2 linked regions of the Schizosaccharomyces pombe genome follow. The gene in region 2 interacts genetically with the main gene of each other region. Each region holds a gene or a part of one and is shown on either strand. Other genes may lie near its edges.

Region 1 (4,611 bases), 3.1 Mb from region 2:
CAACTGAGAAGCTCACTTTAATATATGCTTTATTTCTTTTTGGGATGATTATCGTTGTTCAGCATTGTTTCGTTTCCGATACGTTTTACTATTTAGGTAGTTTTTTTAATAAGCAATCCGCGCCAAGATAAAACCAATATGGATTGTGTTTTATAGGAATCTTTGGGTACGTCTTTTCTACTTCCTTTCTAATCATCGATTCGCTACGGAGTTCCAAAACCTTTAGCAAGATATAATACAAACCAATCCGCTCTCTCATCTTTTGACGATTTAACATCCATTATCGTCAAAATGCTCATGCTATGTACCATACCAATTATTGCGTGTATACATTCTTTAGATTCTATTTTTACTTTTTTTTTTACGAATGCCTGCATAGTTTTGAAATTCTCTTCTCCAAACAAGTATCCTTTAACCCAAGAAAATATTAATACATACTTTACTGTTAAATTAAATTTTCATCTTTAAATGGTATTATATTACTTTGAAAATGTATAAATGGAAAAGGTGTAATGTAGAAACTAGAATGTAAACAAATAAAACTTAATGCTTTAACAATTGAAAGACTAAAACAAAGATAGAACACTAAAAAGAGAATCAAACTAAAACTTGAAAGTTAAACATAGAGAAAAGAATGTAGGGCCATCATGTTGGCGTGGCCGGTGCGCTTAGAGAAAACAAATAAATGCCAAACGACTTAAAAACTCTAGAAAAAATAAATAGCAGTCGTGCACAGTGTACAGCAATGATATAATAATAACAATGACGATAGATGAAAAGAGCCAAAAGAGATAACTCTAACCATCAGCTTGTAAACTGGAAGCTAGATTTGAGCCAAAAGGAAGGATATAAAAGAAGGTTTGTTCAATTAACACGTTTAGCAGATCGCCTCGAGTATAAAGAAGATTCCTTCAAATTTAAAGAAAATGGATCCTTACCTTCACTTCCCAAAGTATCATTCAAAGGAAAGCTAGAAATGATATAGTCATCATCATCGGTAGTAGTTTCTTCATCTAAAATGAGTTCTTTGATAGAGCCAGTATTCATTGACTTCTTGCTTAATTGTTCAGGTGAAAATCCCAAATGATTTAAGCGACGAATATCATAAGCAACACCCATTGCCTCATGTACAGATGATACACCGGGTGTTTTTGGCTCCGAATAAGAACTTAAAAGAGGGTGAGTAGCGCTTTTGATAGGTGTCGTGGGTATATCGATCTCACCTTTAGAAACGAGCGAGCGTGGAAGGGATAATTTCGGTCCACCTGGCGTGCCATGAAGTTTGGGCTTATACGTAAAATTTTCAGGCATTTTTGACTCTCCTTTAATCCAGGGATGCTGAAAAAACTGGTGAATATCGTATCTCTCTCTAGGGTCTACAGTGAGTAAATGGGTAATTAGATCCTTAGCAGAGTCGGAAATATCATCCCACCAAGGCGATAAAAATTCAAATTCACCATTAACAACCTTAGAAGCCAAATCTTTTATATTTTCATCGAAAAATGGTGGGAACCCACATAGCATCGTATGAAGAACACAACCCATCGCCCACATATCAACGTTTTTAGAATACAACTCATCATTGACAATTTCAGGAGCAGCGTAACCAACTGTTCCACAAGGCGTTGCGGTTTTAGAATTCCAAACCACTTTGCTGAATCCAAAATCAGCAATCAGTATTCTTCCAATACCGCCCGCTCCAATACCTTCAAGAAACATGCCCTCATCAAGCTTATTTGGTTCTAAGCTCGGTGGGGTGTAATTTTGAGATGGGAGATATTCAATTGGTTGAAATAATAAGTTTTCTGGTTTGATATCCCTATGAACAATTCCACAAACGTCATGAAGATGCTTAACAGCTTCTGCCACTTGAATGATTATATGTCGTGCCAAGTTCTCAGAAAAGTAGGTAAAATTAACAATTTGATGAAACAGCTCACCTCCTTCAGCAAGCTCCATAACTAAGTGATAAAAATCCTCTGTTTCAACAAAGTCAAAAAGATTGACCACATTTTTGTGCTTAACACGACGCATAATGTTAACCTCTTTAAATACACCTTGCCGCTGAAAAAGAGTTAGATAAACAATAATAAAATAATTGATAGAATATTTGAAAGGGGAATGGGCAACAACAACTTCATAATACAATGTGCGAATAATGATTTCTAGCTTCACTAACTCATTCTCATTCATGTCAAAAAATTGCACAAGGCCTTTGTAGTTTGCCAAGTATAGCCACAAAACTATGTCTTCATGCTGAGACGTTATTATTCAACCCTTTCTTTTGAAAATTGATGAAGACTCCAAAAACCCAAATCCCTCTCAAATTTCAATAAATAAGTCATTAATTTCAATAATTTACATACCTGTTTTTTATTCATTTCATACTTTCTTATTACTTTAACTGCCACGTGCTCTTTTCGATCAATGGAATACGCCTTATAAACTTGACTAAAAGCACCACTTTTTGGGTCAGTAAATGATCATACTATAATAAAAAACGCCAAAGAAATTTGGACATAACTTACTCTCCTAAATTTTCAATTAACTGATATTTTTCAAGACCAGGGTAGTTAGCGACTCTTATTTCTTCATCCCCACCGGCATTGACATTTTTGGCAGCAAGCTCAGTATAAGCGGCGACGTCCCTGTTTACACTAACATCAACCGACTTTGAAGCATTCGATCTCCCCTTTGAGCTTTTCGAATGCTTTAACAAGTTTTTAAACCCCTAAGACCTATTAGTATAAGTGGCAAGGAAGAATGCGTACCGCTAGTATCGACATGTTGCATTGATATACGCTGTGGGTAGGTGCATAGCTGACGCCAACGCTCACCACATTCCAGTAATATTGCCCTAAAAATCTATAATTTGCTATCTTTTATCAAAATACTCTAACATTGATTAATTTTTAGTCTAATAACGATCAATTTAGATCTTTAATACTTTCAATGGCTTGATTTAAGCAGTAATACGCAACTTAAAAATTTTTTTTTCTCATTCGATATTTGGTGCACTGAATAATATAAACACAATGATAGAGTCGGAATTAGCGACTTCGAGGTGGAGCTTGATGCTTGAAGCAGATATTGCAACTCAAACAACTCGCAGTTTAACGAATGAGCTGAGCTTCATTGTAGCTGGTCTACGGCCCTCCACCAAAGAGTCTGTCCTTCATTTTTTGGAATTAATATTTATAAATTTAAAATACCAGTCAAAAAAATGGCTTTATTCTCTCGTTATATGCAAATCCCTAATCGCACTACTAGGACGAAAGCGTTTATCAGCTAATGTTAGGAAAATAGTTAGATTTCTGAATGTGATTATTTGTGTTATAGGTCTTTGGAAAGGGCTATCCGCCATGTCAGGGAAAAACACTTTCATTAATGGGCTGCAGAGTTATTTAATCTCAGAGACAGCATTACCAGAGTTAGGGTCATTCCAAGAACTTTCCACTTCCTCGTTAGGAAGTTTTCGAATGTTTCAACAAATAGCAGTTGGGTTTGTAGATGCACTCTTTTGCACCCGTATCCCTGCTTCTTTGTGGATTAAGTATAAGGAGTACACAACTTCCGCAGAAACCACTGTTCCTCAAGAATGTGGACTCTGTATGATGTGTGTACAAAGGGGAGATGAACGCGTAGCAATTACTACGCCTTACACTACTGATTGTGGTCATACATATTGCTATGCTTGCATTATGTCTCGATTGAAACTTGTAAATAATGTGTCTTGCCCCATTTGCAAGCATAGAATTAGATTTGCTTTGCCTGATCAGACAATGGGTTAGTCAAAGATGAATAAGTAATGGAATAACTTATACTGATATTATTTATGATTTTGTTGACTACGAAAAGTACGATAGTAAAAATTTACTTGTAATATCATAAAATTATATGCGCTATTCAGAACCATACAAAATTCAATAGCAGTGTACTCTATGAAAGCATGCACTTACTTACTCACAAAATTGCATTTCCTTACTACAATTAAGCCTTGTGTCTACGATACGATTATTTGTAAATACCACCATCTACAAGTTAATAAAATATTTGCACCGAAAAGATTCTTATTCCACTTAAAGAAATCCAAGTAAATTAGGGAACAGTAAAAAGTAATCGGTCAATCAGCTTTTTACTTTTGAGAAGACAATTGCTTGAGCTTTTGCTTGACAATCTTCTGTTCCTCAATCAAAAAGGCACGAACAATACGATCCTTAACGGCATTGGCACTCAAGCAACCGCCATAAGCACGCTGGACAGTCTTCTTGTTGTGTGAAAGACGAGCAAACTCACGAGGACGCAGAGCGGGAATACCTTGCAAAGGGACGCCAGTATCACCGCAGCGAGGAATGGTGCCAAGCTTCTTGATGTGAAGATAGCGAATGTTGTTACCAGGAGTCTTGATAATTCTGGTTCTGTTGCTACGAGTGTTGTAAGCAAGGCGACGGCGGTAGGTAACTCGTTGAGCCATTTTTGTTAGATTTTTTTCGTTTGTTCTGCGCAGGTTTCCTTTTCAGCTATTTGGGAAATTGTGTTGTGTGTGACTGTTTTTACTCTCGGTAGGCCACCCTTTTTTCTAAATACAGAGTAGCGTACTTCGTTATAAGT
Region 2 (4,791 bases):
AATTTTTTTAAGGTATAAACATAGACAACACAATCCTTTAATACCCATCTTCAACGGTTTGAGTGATTCATTGCTGATTAGTAAGGGGTGTATCAATCTTCATCAGCATCTACTTGTTCAATAGGTTTCAGGATATCTTTCGTTTGTTTTTCTTAGTTCTTTCAAACTTTCTTTGTTTTTTTATTCGTTTCTAGTCGATTAAAAACTTTAAAAAAATGTCTTCTGCATCCATGTTCGGGAGTCTTAAAACCAATGCTGTGGACGAATCCCAGTTGAAGGCTAGAATTGGAGTTTTAGCTCTCCAAGGAGCATTTATTGAACACATTAATATAATGAATTCCATTGATGGAGTAATTTCTTTTCCTGTTAAAACTGCTAAGGATTGCGAAAATATTGATGGCTTAATTATCCCAGGAGGTGAGTCTACTACCATTGGCAAATTAATCAACATTGATGAGAAGCTTCGTGATCGTTTGGAGCACTTGGTTGATCAAGGACTTCCTATTTGGGGAACGTGTGCTGGTATGATTCTTCTGTCGAAAAAGTCTCGAGGTGGAAAGTTCCCAGATCCTTATTTGTTGCGCGCCATGGATATTGAAGTGACTCGTAATTATTTTGGACCTCAAACTATGTCTTTTACAACTGATATTACAGTTACAGAGTCAATGCAATTTGAAGCCACTGAACCTTTACATTCCTTTTCGGCCACTTTTATTCGTGCTCCAGTCGCTTCGACAATCCTGTCTGATGATATTAATGTTTTAGCTACTATTGTTCATGAAGGCAACAAAGAGATTGTTGCGGTTGAGCAAGGTCCCTTTTTAGGTACATCGTTTCACCCCGAGCTGACCGCCGATAATAGATGGCATGAATGGTGGGTAAAAGAGCGTGTTTTACCTTTAAAGGAGAAAAAGGATTAGTTTTTTAAATTCATGCCTATAGTTGCATGTTGTATAATCCCACAAAAAGAGTTGAGACAGGTAAATGCCTCACTTATTATTTTAGTCAGTCATTAAGTTTTAAATAATAAATCCTTTTAGATTAATTTTTTAGATTTTAAGTGTTAATTGTTATTTGCTTTCAATCTTTTCTAGGTTCATTTGCGCTGCATAAGTTGCTGTCATTTCCATTGCTAAAAGCATATAGTTTGAATACATTATCAGTTAATCAAATGTTTATAAAAAATGCGCATTATTTTGGGTAATATAGATACACATTCCATAGAAAATTTAACCGAAGATTAAATTTTAGTACACTGGAATTATTCAGTAAGTGATAAATCAAAAATCAAAATTAAGAAAAAATAAAAAACTCCGTTGCGGGGAGTCGAACCCCGACCGCGTCGGTGAAAGCGACGAATCCTAGCCGTTGGACCACAACGGATTCCATGTGCTCTTTACTACTTAGTATAATTTAATATAAAAATTAAAGAATTGTTTATGAATGTGAAATGATAAATTAAATTGTGTCAAATCAAAATGTTTTTTCCTCACATCATGCTGGCTAATGTAATTAAATTTAATAGTTAGCTTGAAGTGCTCGTTCTCTTCAATTTTCCTTCTTACTATCTTGAGGTAAAACTAATGAATGAATTAATAATTCAAATGATTTCTGTCCACAACATTTATCTGGTAATAAAATATATCAATTCTTTAAACAAATTGGTTTTATAAATTCAGTTTCGAGCTGGATTCTTTTTGCTTTGATTTAGATTATAAATGTATCTTTGGCTTACTGTTTACGATGCTAATTTAAAAATTGACTTGCTTTTTCACGAATGAAGAAGTTCAAAAAAGAAGACTGATTATAATTACTTATCTGAATTTTTAACAGTACAAATACATACTTATCGTTAACACGACCATAGTCAGTAGAAACCATGTATTTTAGCTGTAGAGTTAAATTCTCCTAATGTTACTTTCATGATCTGAAAAGTCAACCACAAAGTTTCCATTAACAATTCTCTAACCTTCCATTGTAAGATACGAGATTAGCTGGTTGCGATTAACGGGATTTTGACAAATATTTTGATAAGTGCAGAAAAAAACTGGTTGTTTTCTTAATGCCTTTTTCACTTCCATCATCACAAATATGCGATTTTTCAACGCTCACAAGTCAGCGGAAGATGGGAATTACTCAGAGACAACAAATGCAATAAGTTTAAAAAATGAAAGACAATCAAGGGATTTGTCTGTCAATAAACATGGTAGGAATTAATTACAACTGTGTGTATAAAGCAGTTGACGAACTAAAAATATTGGTCATTGACAACCTAAGCTAATGTATTTATTAGGGCGGATGCTTTTAACTGCTTTGTTGGAAAATTTTTGTCGTATGTCTAAGCTCTCGTTTCATGTGAACTACTTGCTTACTTATTAAAGAACTGTATGACAATAATCCTGCCAAGTCCAAACGACTTTTTGCTTTAATTTGCCATACTCTTCAAAAAATAGGTATTTTGGAAGAAGAATATATTGAAGAACTTGCAGCCGTTAGATCCAATTATCAGGATGCTTTACACCATTTGATTCTGCAAGCGCGTGAGGCAATCCGTCTCGACGATGCTGAAGAGCGACTTTTAGCACTACCCGATCCCACCAATGTATTTGAAAAATTTCCACAAGAAACTGCTCTTTCGAAATTCTCTGTAGATGGATTAAATGTAAGACAGTTCCGATTCCGTGATCTTACGCTTGAGAGTTGGTTACAGTCAAGAAACTCTCGTTACATAGAGGACTTTGAGGAGTATTCTTTACTAGGAAGAGGTGGATTTGGATCAGTATATCACGTACGAAATAAGATTGACGGTGCTGAATACGCAATGAAGAAAATTAATTCAACATTTCAGCAAATGTCTTATTCCAAAATATTTAGAGAAATCAAATGTCTAGCAAAAATGGATCATCCAAATGTTATGTAAGCATCATCAGAAGGACTTGTTTTCATCGCCTTCCTTTTATTATTTCTAACATCGGCTTAGTCGATACTTTTCGAGCTGGGTAGAAAGCACCACAGAAGCAACACAAATGCCGATAGTAATGTCTAAAAATTCTAGTAGAGTACTTGGAACCTCAAGCTATTGTGATGTCAACGGAATGGACTCCATAATTTTTGAACCAACAGAATCTTCTGCCCTTACAGACGATATACTATTTGCAGAAGATCCTGGCACCGAGTCGATCATTTCAACTTCCAGAAAATCTAGCTACTCAAGCACTACTGAATCTTCTAACTTTGAGAATTTAGAAAGCCCTCGTAATCTTCATGACTCTAATGTTTCTACTTTTAATAATACCACCATCTTGGATGACGACTATTCTAGTAGCATGCACATATCTAAAACTGGACCCACTCATTCTTTTATTATTTATATTCAAATGCAGCTTTGCTTTGATGATCTAGAGTCCTATCTAATAAGAAGAAACCATTTTCTTTCATTCCCACTATGTAAGGAACAAATACAACTGCATACGGATTTATTCCGAATGATAATTAATGGCGTTATGTACGTACATGAAGGTGTGAACTTGATCCATCGAGATATCAAACCCAGCAATATATTTCTTGCTAAATCTTTACCGGAGGACCGTGGGTCTGTTCCTTTAATTAGTTATAATGATAAAAACGATTTGAAAGAATACATTACTCCTAAGATTGGTGATTTTGGACTCGTTGTTGAAAATAAAAAAAACACAGAAACCGCACTTTCTTTTCTTGAACGAAACCACTTGCCTAATCTGCAAGATGAGACTCAGCATATAGGCACTGCAACTTACGCGGCTCCGGAATTGCTAGATGCTATGTCTTCTCAGCATAATAAATTTACAAAAAAAATCGATACATTCTCATTAGGAATGGTTTTGTTTGAGCTGTTGCACCCGTTTCAAACAAATATGGAACGTGCAACAAAACTTCAAGACCTTCGTCGAGGAAATCTTCCTGAAGAGTTCGTTGAGCAACATATTTGTGAGTCAAGTTTAATTTTATGGATGACAGCCAAAGACCCCACGAAGCGACCATCACTTCTGGAAGTTCTCAATTGTGGACTATTATTACCTAACCAAGTCTCAATGCCAAATATATCAAATATTGTATCAACAAACCACTTGGATGTTGAAACTCAAATGAAACTTATAATGGATGAAAATCAGCGACTGCGTGAACAAATTGCTGTTCTACGATCCAGGATTCAACATCTTGAAACCCGCTAAACTAAAAATCTTCACTTTTTAATACTTAAATTTCCAGTCAATTTGTTCAGTTTCCCGAAAGTATAGCATTATTTATATCTAACGCTTTTATGCCACAAGTAATAAAATAAAGCAAGGATACATTAAAGCTAATTTTGTTTGTAAAAGCTCCGATAAATTCCTTATTATTAAAACCATTCATATCTATACACCTAAATAATCCAAAATAAAAACGACAAAGTAAAAACTATTGAACAGAATCCCTTAAAAAAAGATAACATTCAAAACCTTTTTTTTTTTTTTACCAAGAATGTTGAACAGCAGGTATTTTTTCATTTTCACGTTCTTGCTCATACTCAATATGAATATGAGGAGCGCGCTTCTTCCTGGATTTCTTTGCATCGTCGGTCTTACGTTTCCTGATTTTTCCTTTGTTATCCTCATCCTCATCCTCATCGGATTCAGACTCTGAGCTTTCCTCCTCTTCAGACTCTGAAGTTTCCATGGACTGATCTGAGCCGAGCCAATCTTCCAAATCAGAGATTTCTTCTTCATCTTCATCATCACTAACAAATTCTAATTCAGCTTCTTCTCGTTCCTC

Evidence for each region.
Region 1: of hri2 (region 2) and cmk2, a mutation in one rescues a mutant of the other (synthetic rescue), as found in Schizosaccharomyces pombe (one study listed by BioGRID).

Annotation. Positions count from the first base shown.
Region 1 is NC_003424.3:4,089,294-4,093,904, forward strand, and holds cmk2 (MAPK-activated protein kinase Cmk2), read right to left. Parts: upstream 2,807-4,611; 5' UTR 2,787-2,806; coding exon 2,772-2,786; intron 2,732-2,771; coding exon 2,529-2,731; intron 2,464-2,528; coding exon 2,367-2,463; intron 2,065-2,366; coding exon 865-2,064; 3' UTR 501-864; downstream 1-500. Other genes in the region: rnf170 (ubiquitin-protein ligase E3), read left to right, coding at 3,036-3,791; rpl3401 (60S ribosomal protein L34), read right to left, coding at 4,136-4,474. UniProt on the Schizosaccharomyces pombe protein: Has a role in the regulation of G2/M transition during the mitotic cell cycle.
Region 2 is NC_003424.3:953,775-958,565, reverse strand, and holds hri2 (eIF2 alpha kinase Hri2), read left to right. Parts: upstream 1-1,955; 5' UTR 1,956-2,091; coding exon 2,092-2,206; exon of another isoform or gene 2,207-2,293; coding exon 2,294-2,332; exon of another isoform or gene 2,333-2,381; coding exon 2,382-2,916; intron 2,917-2,980; coding exon 2,981-4,211; 3' UTR 4,212-4,287; downstream 4,288-4,791. Other genes in the region: sno1 (glutamine aminotransferase subunit), read left to right, coding at 216-920; nuclear HMG-like acidic protein Mak16, read right to left, coding at 4,492-4,791. UniProt on the Schizosaccharomyces pombe protein: Mediates down-regulation of protein synthesis in response to stress conditions by the phosphorylation of the alpha subunit of eIF-2 (tif211) on 'Ser-52'. Protein synthesis is inhibited at the level of initiation. Activity is inhibited in the presence of heme.